Danio rerio: one gene and its partners. The main gene of each other region encodes a partner of the protein of the gene in region 3 in a complex. Links are inferred from orthologs where the notes say so. Each region holds a gene or a part of one and is shown on either strand. Other genes may lie near its edges.

Region 1 (3,267 bases), on a different chromosome or scaffold from region 3:
GACAGTGCATAACATTTTACTAGATGTTTTTTAGAATACAAGCATTCAGATTAAAGTGCAGTTCAAAGGCTTAATCAGAGTAATGAGACAAGTCATTGTATAACAGTAGATTCTTCTGCAGACAATCAAACATATATTGCTTAAGGGGGCTAATAATATTGACCTTAAAATGGGTTTCAAAATATTTAAACCTGCTTTTTTTCAAGCTAAAATAAAAAAATAAGCCTTTCTCCATAAGAAAAAAAATATTAGAGGAAATACTGTTAAAATTCCTTGCTCTGTTTAACATAATTTGGGAAATAGTTATTTAAAAAAACTAAATTCCCAGGAGCGCTAATAATTTTCACTTCAACTGATAATCGTTTAAAATAATCGTGATTATGATTTTTTTCAAAATCGAGCAGCCCTACCATGAGATACGTGATCCGTTACACCACAAATATATATATATATATAAAATAAATAATGTATATCCTGTAAATGTGGCTGAAATTCCACCAATCATTCTCAGAGATGTTCTGAAGAGCTGCTTTGAAACGTTGTTTATTGAGAAAATATACACAAATGAAATGGAGTTACTGAGCGCCGTTAATAAAGGATTCAGCTCAGACACTCTCAGAGTTACTGAAAGCCATATTCCCAAATACTGAATCTGCAGAGTTTTGGTTGAGCGAATATGAAAACGCTGAGTCAGTGATGAGCCATGACTACAGGAGTCGTCATCATCATACCTCAGTCATCAGTGAATGCTCGTCTTCATGGAGATTTAGCACAGTCAGGCTGTTTCTGCACGACTCCTGCACATAAATAAAAAGCATAAAGCAGATCAGTTCAGCGGTGTGTGTGTTCAGGAAGCGCTCCATCATTTGCTGGTCTTGCCCTCGGCCGGCGTCTCTCCGTTGTCGAGTGTCTTGAGGAGCCGGAACAGCCCTGCGGCCTCACGGATGCGGCTGAACTCGATGCAGAAGGCCTGAACCTCGATGAACAGATCCTGAACGTTGATGATCTTATTGCGGATCAGAGACTGCAGGAACACACAGACCAGACGCACCAGACGGTTCTGCAGGACACACAAGCACAACAATATTCAGACACGCGCACACACACATACTCATATACATGCACACATATGCACACATATACATATGCACACACACACATACACTACTGGTCTAAAGTTTGGCATTTATTTAATCAATAATACAGAACAGATGGTAAAATAGTGAAATGTTATTGCATAATAAAATAAAGAAGTGCTCAACAGTGGTTTATCATTTAATTTAATCATATATTCCAGTGATTTAATGATGATTTTTTAGCTAGTCTTCAGAGTCACATGATCCTTCACAAGTCACTCTGATATTAATCATTATTACTGTTATTATTATAATATTATTATTATTATTATTATTAGGGGTGTAACGATTTATCGTTGTACGATTTATTGCGATGCAAAAATGTCTCGATATGCATGGTGGCGTTATGACGATTAGATTACGATATGACGTCCGTTTTCTCTTATTAGTTGAGCTGTTTGCACGTGAGCTACGTTCCACCTGCTGTCGCACGTGAGTTCAGATTGCAGCAGCAGTAATGTTAGCAGACCAAGATGAGTGGAGTTGAAATAGAGGATGGCCCATCCTCTCAAAATCAGACGTCTGGCAACATTTCGGTTGTACAGTCATTGCTTTAGACTCGTCCGCTTTTTGACACGCATACTGGGTCAAACATCCTAAGTTTTAAAGTCTTCACAGTGATTTACATACTTTGCACAGCGACAGGGATACCTCCTAATGGTGTTGAAAGAGTCACATACTGTATTTATAAGGTACAATTCACCCTAAAATATCATTCTGTCTTCATATAATGTTCCCGCCGCAAAATCACACATGACGTGAGCTGACCGTGAGTTACTACAGAGGGCGGACTGATAGACGCGCGCGTATGGCAAGCAGTTTTAGCATTTAAACCTTTGTTCTGACTATCCATAAATATATTTAGAGATATCTCTAATTATATTTTGACTAGTCATAATTATAATTCGACTAGTCAGAATGACAATTAGAGATATCTGCAATTACAATTGTACTAGTACGAAATCAGATTGGAGATATCTGCAAATATATTATGACTAGTCATATTCCTCCATTGAAAAATATTTTCAGATATCTCTAAATGAGTTTTGATTAGTCACAATTGTAATTAGAGATATCTCTAAATGAATTTAATTAAATATGAATTAATACCTGGAAATGTGGATTTTCATTGCACACACAAAAAACGAAAGTGACCAAGTAAAGCCTTAAGCTCTTACTGTTAAATTCAATTGAATAGAAAGCTTATTTTTTTTGCACCTTTACTTAAATTGTTCCTTAATTTTGTCTCTGTCATTTCAATAATATTTTTTAAGAAGTTTTTTAATTGTTTTATTTTCCAGAGACAGGCCTGTTTCATTTATTTTCTTAAAGAAGGTTCAGTTTAACAAGTTGAAACAAAAGAAATACATAAAAATAGTTTACTTGGTAAAATTTGCATTTCAGTTTAATTTTCAATTTTTATTCCAAATATCGTGATACATATCGAATCGTGAACATTATATCGTGATACATATCGAATCGTGAACATTATATTGTGATACACATCGTATCGTGAGCTGAGTGTATCGTTACACCCCTAATTATTATTATTAATGGTAATAGTAATAAATGCAATAATGAATGGGGTAATAATTTCATTTGAAACTACATACAGTAAGAAAGCAGTTATTTAAAATTGTAATAAGTATTTAACAATTTAACATTTTGTTTACGTGTACGTGATGAACAGAATCATTATTATTTAAATTAATAATCAATAATAATCAACAATTAATCAATCAAATCAATAATAATTTTAGAACAGTGGTTCTCAAACTGTGGTACGTGTGGTACGCAGGCTTTCTTCTAGTGGTACGCGGAGGAATGAAATATGTCATGTACATGCTACACACATTACAAAATTGATCAAAAATGATGTATATATTATGCCATGTATGACATATAGCCTATATTTCTGAGGTAATCTGCCACGTTTTTTAACTGTGCAGAGTTGTAGCTGCTTTACTGTACCTACTGCGCTACTGTATTTCAATGCTGCTCATTTTGGTGGTACTTGGAGAGACAATTGTTTTCTGAGGTGGTACTTGATGAAAAACCGTTTGAGAACCACTGTTTTAGATCATTACCCCAAACCTTTGACCGTTAGTGTCCATTAGGATAAAGGTCACAT
Region 2 (3,664 bases), on a different chromosome or scaffold from region 3:
AAGTCAAAATGTCAGCCCGGAAATGAAAGTCAACAATATTTCCATATAATAATAATAATAATAAATAATCGCGCACACACATTTCATGGCTTATAACGAAAAGACAAATGATTTCAGAACCCAAAAATGAATATGTCTAACATGTTAATAATACTCCTGAACATTAATAGTTAATTACCAGTATCATGGCTACATGTGAAAAGCGTTCGTAGGTCTGGCAGATGTAGGCAAGCCCCGTATCATCCAAGAGGATCTTCTGCAGGATAAACGTGGCCACCTGAAGGAAGAAAAGAGGAAATACACATCAAATGCATCTGAATAATGCACGTACACTCATAACTTGTCAAGTTATGTCATGTAATGAGATTACCGTTTTGGAGAGCTCGCTGCCGGACTCCATTATGCGCAGACAGAGAGGAATTATTTCTGTGGTTAACAGAAAGTTGATGACTTCCTGCTCGTCTGTTTTCACCAGTGCGCCTATAAGACAAACGCATCTCTGGCTTATTTATCAGGCTTACACAATTACATCCCAAAAAATTATTCAATACAGGATTTAGAAGAAACACATTTATAAAAGTAAATGCAAATCAAATATACTAAATAAATCAATTAATGAATAAAAAACTAGGTCAATAACGTGGTTACTAATCACCTGACATATTCAATAAAACAAAAATATGATGCATTGATAAAACTTTTTTTTAAATATACCTTTTTTATTACTTGTGAATGGTAAATTCATATATGAAAGTAAATCTGTTTTACTTATTTATTTAATTTTTTAGCATATTCATCAAAAATCGAATAATGAAATATATTTAAATTGAAAAAAATCAAATGTACTAAATAAAACATACACATTCAAAAATTTACTCAAACTGATTGCACTAATTGTATTTTTGTTTCGTCTGCTACAAAGTATATATATTTTTTAACGAATGGAAAATTCATATTAATTTTTTGGCAAATTTACGTCATTATATAAATATATTAAATTTGTATGTATAAAAAGTATTTTCACCATTTTCACTAATGCTCCTATAAGATGAATACATTTCAGTTCAGTCTTACTTTCATTTTCATCCAAAAACTTAAATATAGATACAGAAATGTCACAAATTGAAACTGCAAAACCACTAAACAAAATAAAAAAAATCAATATATAGATACAAATGCCCTTCCATATTGAAAATATAATTCAAACTGCTTAATTGTATTTTTGTATCGCCTAATGCAAAATACTGTTTTTACTACTTTTATCTTAATTATATTACATATAGTTTATTATATGTATTTCATATTTTTTTATTTTATGTTTTTACCAAATATTAAAGTATTTGGCAATTTACATAATATTATATATCCAGTGCTCAGCATATATACCCCAAACAAATCTCTCATTTAAATGAATATTTTCTATAGGAAGCTTTACAATATTACATTTGTGCATATACATTAGATTAGTGAGTACTGAATCCAAATCTGGAGCTAATCTAATAAAGTGAAACTTACAATAATGGTTCAGAAATTAGTAGCCCAAATTTATATGTTAGAAAATATTATACAAATTAATATACAAAATATATACAATTTTGTTGAAATGTTCTAGTTTGTTATGTTTTTTTTTTGCAATATTTTGCATGAATTTATAAGTAATCTTTCCATTTCTAAAGATGTTATGTGACTAAAATATTATTTTGATAAAACATATCTGTACAATAAATCTGTTTTGTTCAAATGCACTAATATATATTACCAATATTCACTGAGAAATGGATAAAAATATTCATTTTTAAAATGGGCTGTACTCATTTATGCTGAGCACTGTATATATACACACAATATTTTTATAGCTCTTCCAAACAATGATAACATTTCAGTTCAATCTTACTTATATATATTTTTTCTTACCGATGACGCCCAGACTGGTGAGCCGAAGGTACTCGAAGGGCCTGGTTTTACTGACCGTGTGCAGGAACGGGTAGAGAAATAAAGGGATGTGAGCTGCCAGAAAAGCAGAACTGAGGACGAGAAAGAAATCGGAGGATCAGTCAATGTGGCGAATCATTAAAGAGAGCGTGTCGTTTTCTGTGTCTATAAGAAGTGTGTTACCGTGTCTCTACATGTGACGCCACACACTGCAGCAGTGCTAAGGCATTACACACTCGATTAGACTGATGTGCCGTCAGTGTCGGGGGGTTTATGGATGGGTAGATGTTAACAATTTCCTGTAAAAAAAAAAAAAATTAATTATTAATCTCAATTTAGTTAACTTTGCTCTATTTTTTTCTACCTTCTCAAATGAATTCAAACTTTGAACTTGTTTTGATTACAATAAAAGCCTTTGCTATTATTGTTATTTATTACTATTCAATATAAATTCTAATAGTATCTGAATATCTGAAGAACTACTTTAGTGTCAAATGTCAGAAAAGAGCGTTTACAAAAAGTTTTAATTTTCAAAGTGCAGAAAAAAAAACTACTTAAACCCTAAATTTTATTAAAATTCTTTCAAAAAGGGACATATTTGTAACTTATACAGTTATTATCACTCCATTCCATAATTTTTCAAATATCTGAAATAATTCATGTTTTACTAAACAATTGTTTGTCAATTTATTGCTTTAAAATTCATTTTAAATGTCATTTTCATCAAAAAGATTAATCAAAATTGTGTACATTGAATAAAAACATTGAACAAAAAAACCTACATTTACAAATCCCTCTTAATATTACCTAAAATAATTTTGTAATTAATTTTTACTTATTGTATTATTAATTGCATAATGAATTAATTAACCAGATATATATTAAAAAAACATACAGTTATGCCACTTAATATTTATTTATATGTAAAATAATAATAATAATTACACAATTATTCAATTCAATTAATATTTCTTTAAATCAAAAAGAATTGTGTCTAGAATGAAAGAAACTGAAGCAGACCTGCAGTAGAGCTGCTATGGTCCCGCAGGAGTGCCAGAGCATTGGGGCCAGGTCAGTCACAGACTCTCTCTTCTTGCTGAGCTCCAGCAGGGCGTTCTCTCGTGTTTCTGGACTGGACAACTCATTGATCCACTGGTAGATCTTCTCCCGGTCCACCTGCGCCAGACCCGCTGTGCTTACAGTCTGTGAGAGTGAGAGAGCACTTCTTTAGTCATCATATATAAAGTTGAAGACAGATTTATTAGCCCACCATTGATTTTTTTGTTTTGTTCTTTTTTTTTTTAAATATTTCCCAAATTATGTTTAACAGAGCAAAGACATTTTTAAAGTATGTCTGATAATATTTTTTTCTTCAGGAGAAAGTCTGATTTGTTTTATTTCGGCTAGAATAAAAGCAGTTTTTAATTTTTTAAACACCAATTTAAGGACAAAATTATTAGCCCCTTTGAGCTGTATATTTTTTTCAATAGTCTACAGAACAAACCATCATTATTCAATAACTTGCCTAATTACCCTAACCTGCCTAGTCAACCTAATTAACCTAGTTAAGCATTTAAATGCCACTTTAAGCTGTATAGAAGTGTCTTGAAAATATGTAGTAAAATATTATTCACTGTCATCATGGCAAAGATAAAAAAAAATCAGTTATTAGAAATGAATTATTAAAACTATTATGTTTAGAAATGTGTTAAAAACATCTTTTCTCCGTTAT
Region 3 (3,764 bases):
ATCAACTCATTTCAGCTGTAAAAGCATGAAAGCAAAACCGCCTATTAATAGGTAAAGCCACCAACAAGAGCTTTTAAATGCCTTATTTGCCGTGTATACAGAAAAAAAAACACACATGCGCCACCCTGTAATCATTTGGTTGCAGCTGTTACATACAGACCAGAACATACTGCCAACTCTCTAAGCCGTCTGGGTAGAACATATCCTACTTCTGCTCGTCAATGTTTTCTTACATGCAGAACTTCAGGGTGATTTCATTTAAAATTAACTTTGAACTAGCTGTCATTTCATATTGTTTCATTTTGTATCAGTCACTAGACTACAGTAATGCACAGCAATAATGAGACCCCCAAAATAACAATGCCAGTGACTCGCGACCCCCAATATCTTCTGAGGTGGTTATCAATACAGAAACCTTGCATGCAATGGTGCACACACACCAATAGACCCAAGTCTATTCTTTGTTGCATTTTTTATGTATGACAGTGCTGTAAATGTGGCAGAAAGTTTAACCTGGTGCTATAAAATTAATCTGCTGCATCTGACGCCATTGCTGTGTCTTTAATATAATGTAATTACACCAGGGGTCGCGATCCAATAGAACTATAAACTAAGATAGTAACTATTTACAGTACTATATAGTAACTATAAACGCCTATTTTTTTCTTTTCAGTAGGTTGTAGATAAAATATGGTAATTCTTATTGTTTAGTAACGATAAATAGACTTGAAAATCACCAGACGACCCCCATTCATTGTCTCGCGACCCCCACTTTGAGAACCACTGCTGTACAGTAGACATGTGTGATTTAATATATTGATATAACCAGCATGCATGATATTGACAAGTCAAAATACAGAATAATAATTTATTATTTAACCTCTGACTTACTCTCAAGCGTTTTGAGATCCGTGTATTGGCATTTGCTTCATCACAACACACCAAATGTTTGAAGACTTAAGAAGGCATTTATTTTTAAATAATTACATCCGAGATATTGATTGAAAATGTTCTGATTTTTTATAGGCCTGTTGCTGTACATTCATAATAAGGCTTCATCTGTTAACATTAGTTAATGAAACCAAACTGATGATGAAAACTAATTTTAAGGCATTTATTAATCTTAGATGATTTTGATACATTAATGTTTAGTAACTATTAATTTTAGATTTTTTAAATCAATTTTAATTTTAGGAATTTTAAATCTTGATTGTAATTAATGCATTATTACCACTTAATAATGAGACCATAATGTAAAGCTGACCTTTTTTACTTTAATAATATAGGTCCTGTTAGAGCAATACACAACTTTTTATCATTTATTACACCTGCTAAAGTGGTCTAATCCTTTTGTATGTTATGGCTATACCATCTTTATACTATTGTGATAAAAGTTTCAGCAGTTATGAAATAATAAAATCTGATACAGTAATGTGTACTACATTTATTGTGTATTACGTGTGCACTTATGTTTTCTGTTCACTGTTGGGTGTGTTTTTGTAAATTCTGCTATCTGCAACTGTCACTAAACCGAAGTGTTCATAAAAGTTGTCAGGCTGAACATTGTGGTGTGTAATATGCAAATGAGCCCTGGCAGCTGAGGCTTTACGTAACCCTCATTTAAAGTTACTAAGTAACTTCTATGAATAAAACAAACACAATGTCTGAACTTTACCTTCTTGCACGTGCTGTTAAAACTCGTCCTCGAAGTGTCGTGGCGTGTTTCGCATTACAGCGAGTCACCACAGTTGTCAGCTACTCAAATAGCGGGCTTTGTTATGTAAGGCTATTATTAGCTGTTCTTGCCTGCGCAGTGAAGGCAAAAAGTTTTGATCTCTTAAACATGGGTGATTTAGATGAAATAAGTTTAGCTGGCGAGCTGAGCTGACAAGCAGAACATGACAAGCAGGAGCAGGTCTGGCCATGTCACCCGCTCCAGCTCAGACGGTCCTCGGCATCTCCAAATACGGTCATGTGTAAATCAGCACAAACGATGAGGCGCGCAGTAGGTTGAAACACTGTTCTCTCGTGTTTATTAAGTTACAGTTCACACACATTATTGTCTCAGCTGATCTTCAGAAGGCAGAGCTGGAGACGTCAGGCGTTTTTGACACTCAACGATATAAGCAACGCAAAACACCACTCCGAAATGCAGTTGGTCAGTTCTTACCTGCATTCGGGAGGTGGGAGAGGAGCTGCTGGTGTGTGATTTAATCAGAGACATACAGACAAACTGTGACCGATCCTCATCCTGAGAGTCGGGCAGGAGGAAGGACAACAGTCTGAGCTTCCGCTCCGGTCCACGCTCCCCTACAACTAGGGATAGGTGGTCGACTCATTTTGACGAATCGGTTCTTTCGAACGAACAGTTCAATAAACATATTTGATTATATATTGATATTATTTTCTTTAAAATATAAAAAACAAGATTACCTTGAGTTGTAAATACTATAATATGTACACTATAATACACCTTTCTATAATGTGATTTGAAAACACTATATATTTACTATGCATAGACTATATATTTATTTTTCATATTCTCCTAGATATACATTTTTACACATAATAAAAGGCTATTAATTTAGTAATCGCCAATATCCTATTCAAGTCGTAGGCTCTGAGTTTGCCTTAAACATTTTTTTATTTTGCTATCGGACAGTCCTGAAAGCTGGTGGTCGGTTCAGTGTATTTGGTGACTCGTTAAGTTCGGTTCAATGGTTCAATCGAGTCATTGAAAAGATCCGACTTAAAAGATTCATGAAATTCTCTAGTGGTTGTGAACACTGCTCTTGTGATTTAAGTTTTCTTTGTACGCTTACTAAAACACACGAAATATTTGTATTTATTAATTAAATGACCACAAATTGTACATTTTTGCAGTTTCTATATTTAACGCGCAACTTTAAGATATTTCATGCAAGGTTGCTCAAATACTTAGTTTAAACAAGTTATATAGTTTAAACTAAACATAACATTTTTCTAACTTGAATTTTTTTTTTACTAAACCATCTTATTGATATTTCTGAGTTGGAACGATTAAACAGAGGTTCAGGGTTTCAGACGGGAAATTTAAGTGTAACACACAAATTTATCAACATGGCTGCCCCCGCGAGGAGTGTTTTAAGAGGTCAGTTTTAATCATTGCAAAGAATTTTACTTATAATCTCTTAATGTCAGTGTATTTTCCCACGTTATTAACACGTGGAATCTGTGCTTATTTTTTTCAGCCTACGAATAAAATACATTGTTGCGTCGTTTATGTATAAAAGCTATCAAATGGATTACGATCTCTTATAGTCGTGCTTTTATGAATTAAGTCTGTCTGTATAAAGCATAAACTATACTCACACGATTGAAATATCAAATAGGACTTATAGACAAAAAACAGCCATCTGCCAATTTGTGTATTTATATTTTTGCTTAAGTTGCTCTTTGTAACTACATTACTAGTAAGTTAGAGTTGATATTTAAAATTAAAATAATCTAATTTAATACGGGTTTTTTATCAATCTACATAAGAAGCATTAAAAAATATTATTTAAGTAACTGATGGCAGTGTCTTAAGGTGACTGGTTAGTTAAAAACGATCATTGATATGTCCTTTAAGCCAGTTATCTTATTTCTACAATAATTGTGTGTCTTAACAGTATTACCCAGATGTCAGAGTCTGTTGTTCACAAATAGAGCTCCTTCTGTCTCCTGCAACTCACTGACTGCACACCGGCAACAGTCTGCCAGGTCCTACGCTGCTACAAAGTGAG

The links.
Region 1: cnot6l (region 3) and cnot11 share a complex: the UniProt entries of both Homo sapiens proteins name them as parts of the CCR4-NOT complex. The link is inferred for Danio rerio from reciprocal best matches to the Homo sapiens genes CNOT6L and CNOT11.
Region 2: cnot6l (region 3) and cnot9 share a complex: the UniProt entries of both Homo sapiens proteins name them as parts of the CCR4-NOT complex. The link is inferred for Danio rerio from reciprocal best matches to the Homo sapiens genes CNOT6L and CNOT9.

The regions. Positions count from the first base shown.
Region 1 is NC_133184.1:58,597,247-58,600,513, reverse strand, and holds the end of cnot11 (CCR4-NOT transcription complex subunit 11), read right to left. Parts: coding exon of another isoform or gene 3,224-3,267; intron 2,913-3,223; coding exon of another isoform or gene 2,868-2,912; exon of another isoform or gene 1,414-2,867; intron 1,061-1,413; coding exon 863-1,060; 3' UTR 528-862; downstream 1-527. UniProt on the Homo sapiens protein: Component of the CCR4-NOT complex which is one of the major cellular mRNA deadenylases and is linked to various cellular processes including bulk mRNA degradation, miRNA-mediated repression, translational repression during translational initiation and general transcription regulation.
Region 2 is NC_133197.1:12,449,995-12,453,658, forward strand, and holds part of cnot9 (CCR4-NOT transcription complex subunit 9), read right to left. Parts: intron 3,136-3,664; coding exon 2,953-3,135; intron 2,232-2,952; coding exon 2,116-2,231; intron 2,025-2,115; coding exon 1,915-2,024; intron 481-1,914; coding exon 371-480; intron 278-370; coding exon 179-277; intron 1-178. UniProt on the Homo sapiens protein: Component of the CCR4-NOT complex which is one of the major cellular mRNA deadenylases and is linked to various cellular processes including bulk mRNA degradation, miRNA-mediated repression, translational repression during translational initiation and general transcription regulation.
Region 3 is NC_133180.1:39,726,869-39,730,632, forward strand, and holds the start of cnot6l (CCR4-NOT transcription complex subunit 6-like), read right to left. Parts: upstream 2,285-3,764; 5' UTR 1,676-2,284; intron 1-1,675. Other genes in the region: mrpl1 (large ribosomal subunit protein uL1m), read left to right, coding at 3,100-3,130, 3,651-3,759. UniProt on the Homo sapiens protein: Has 3'-5' poly(A) exoribonuclease activity for synthetic poly(A) RNA substrate.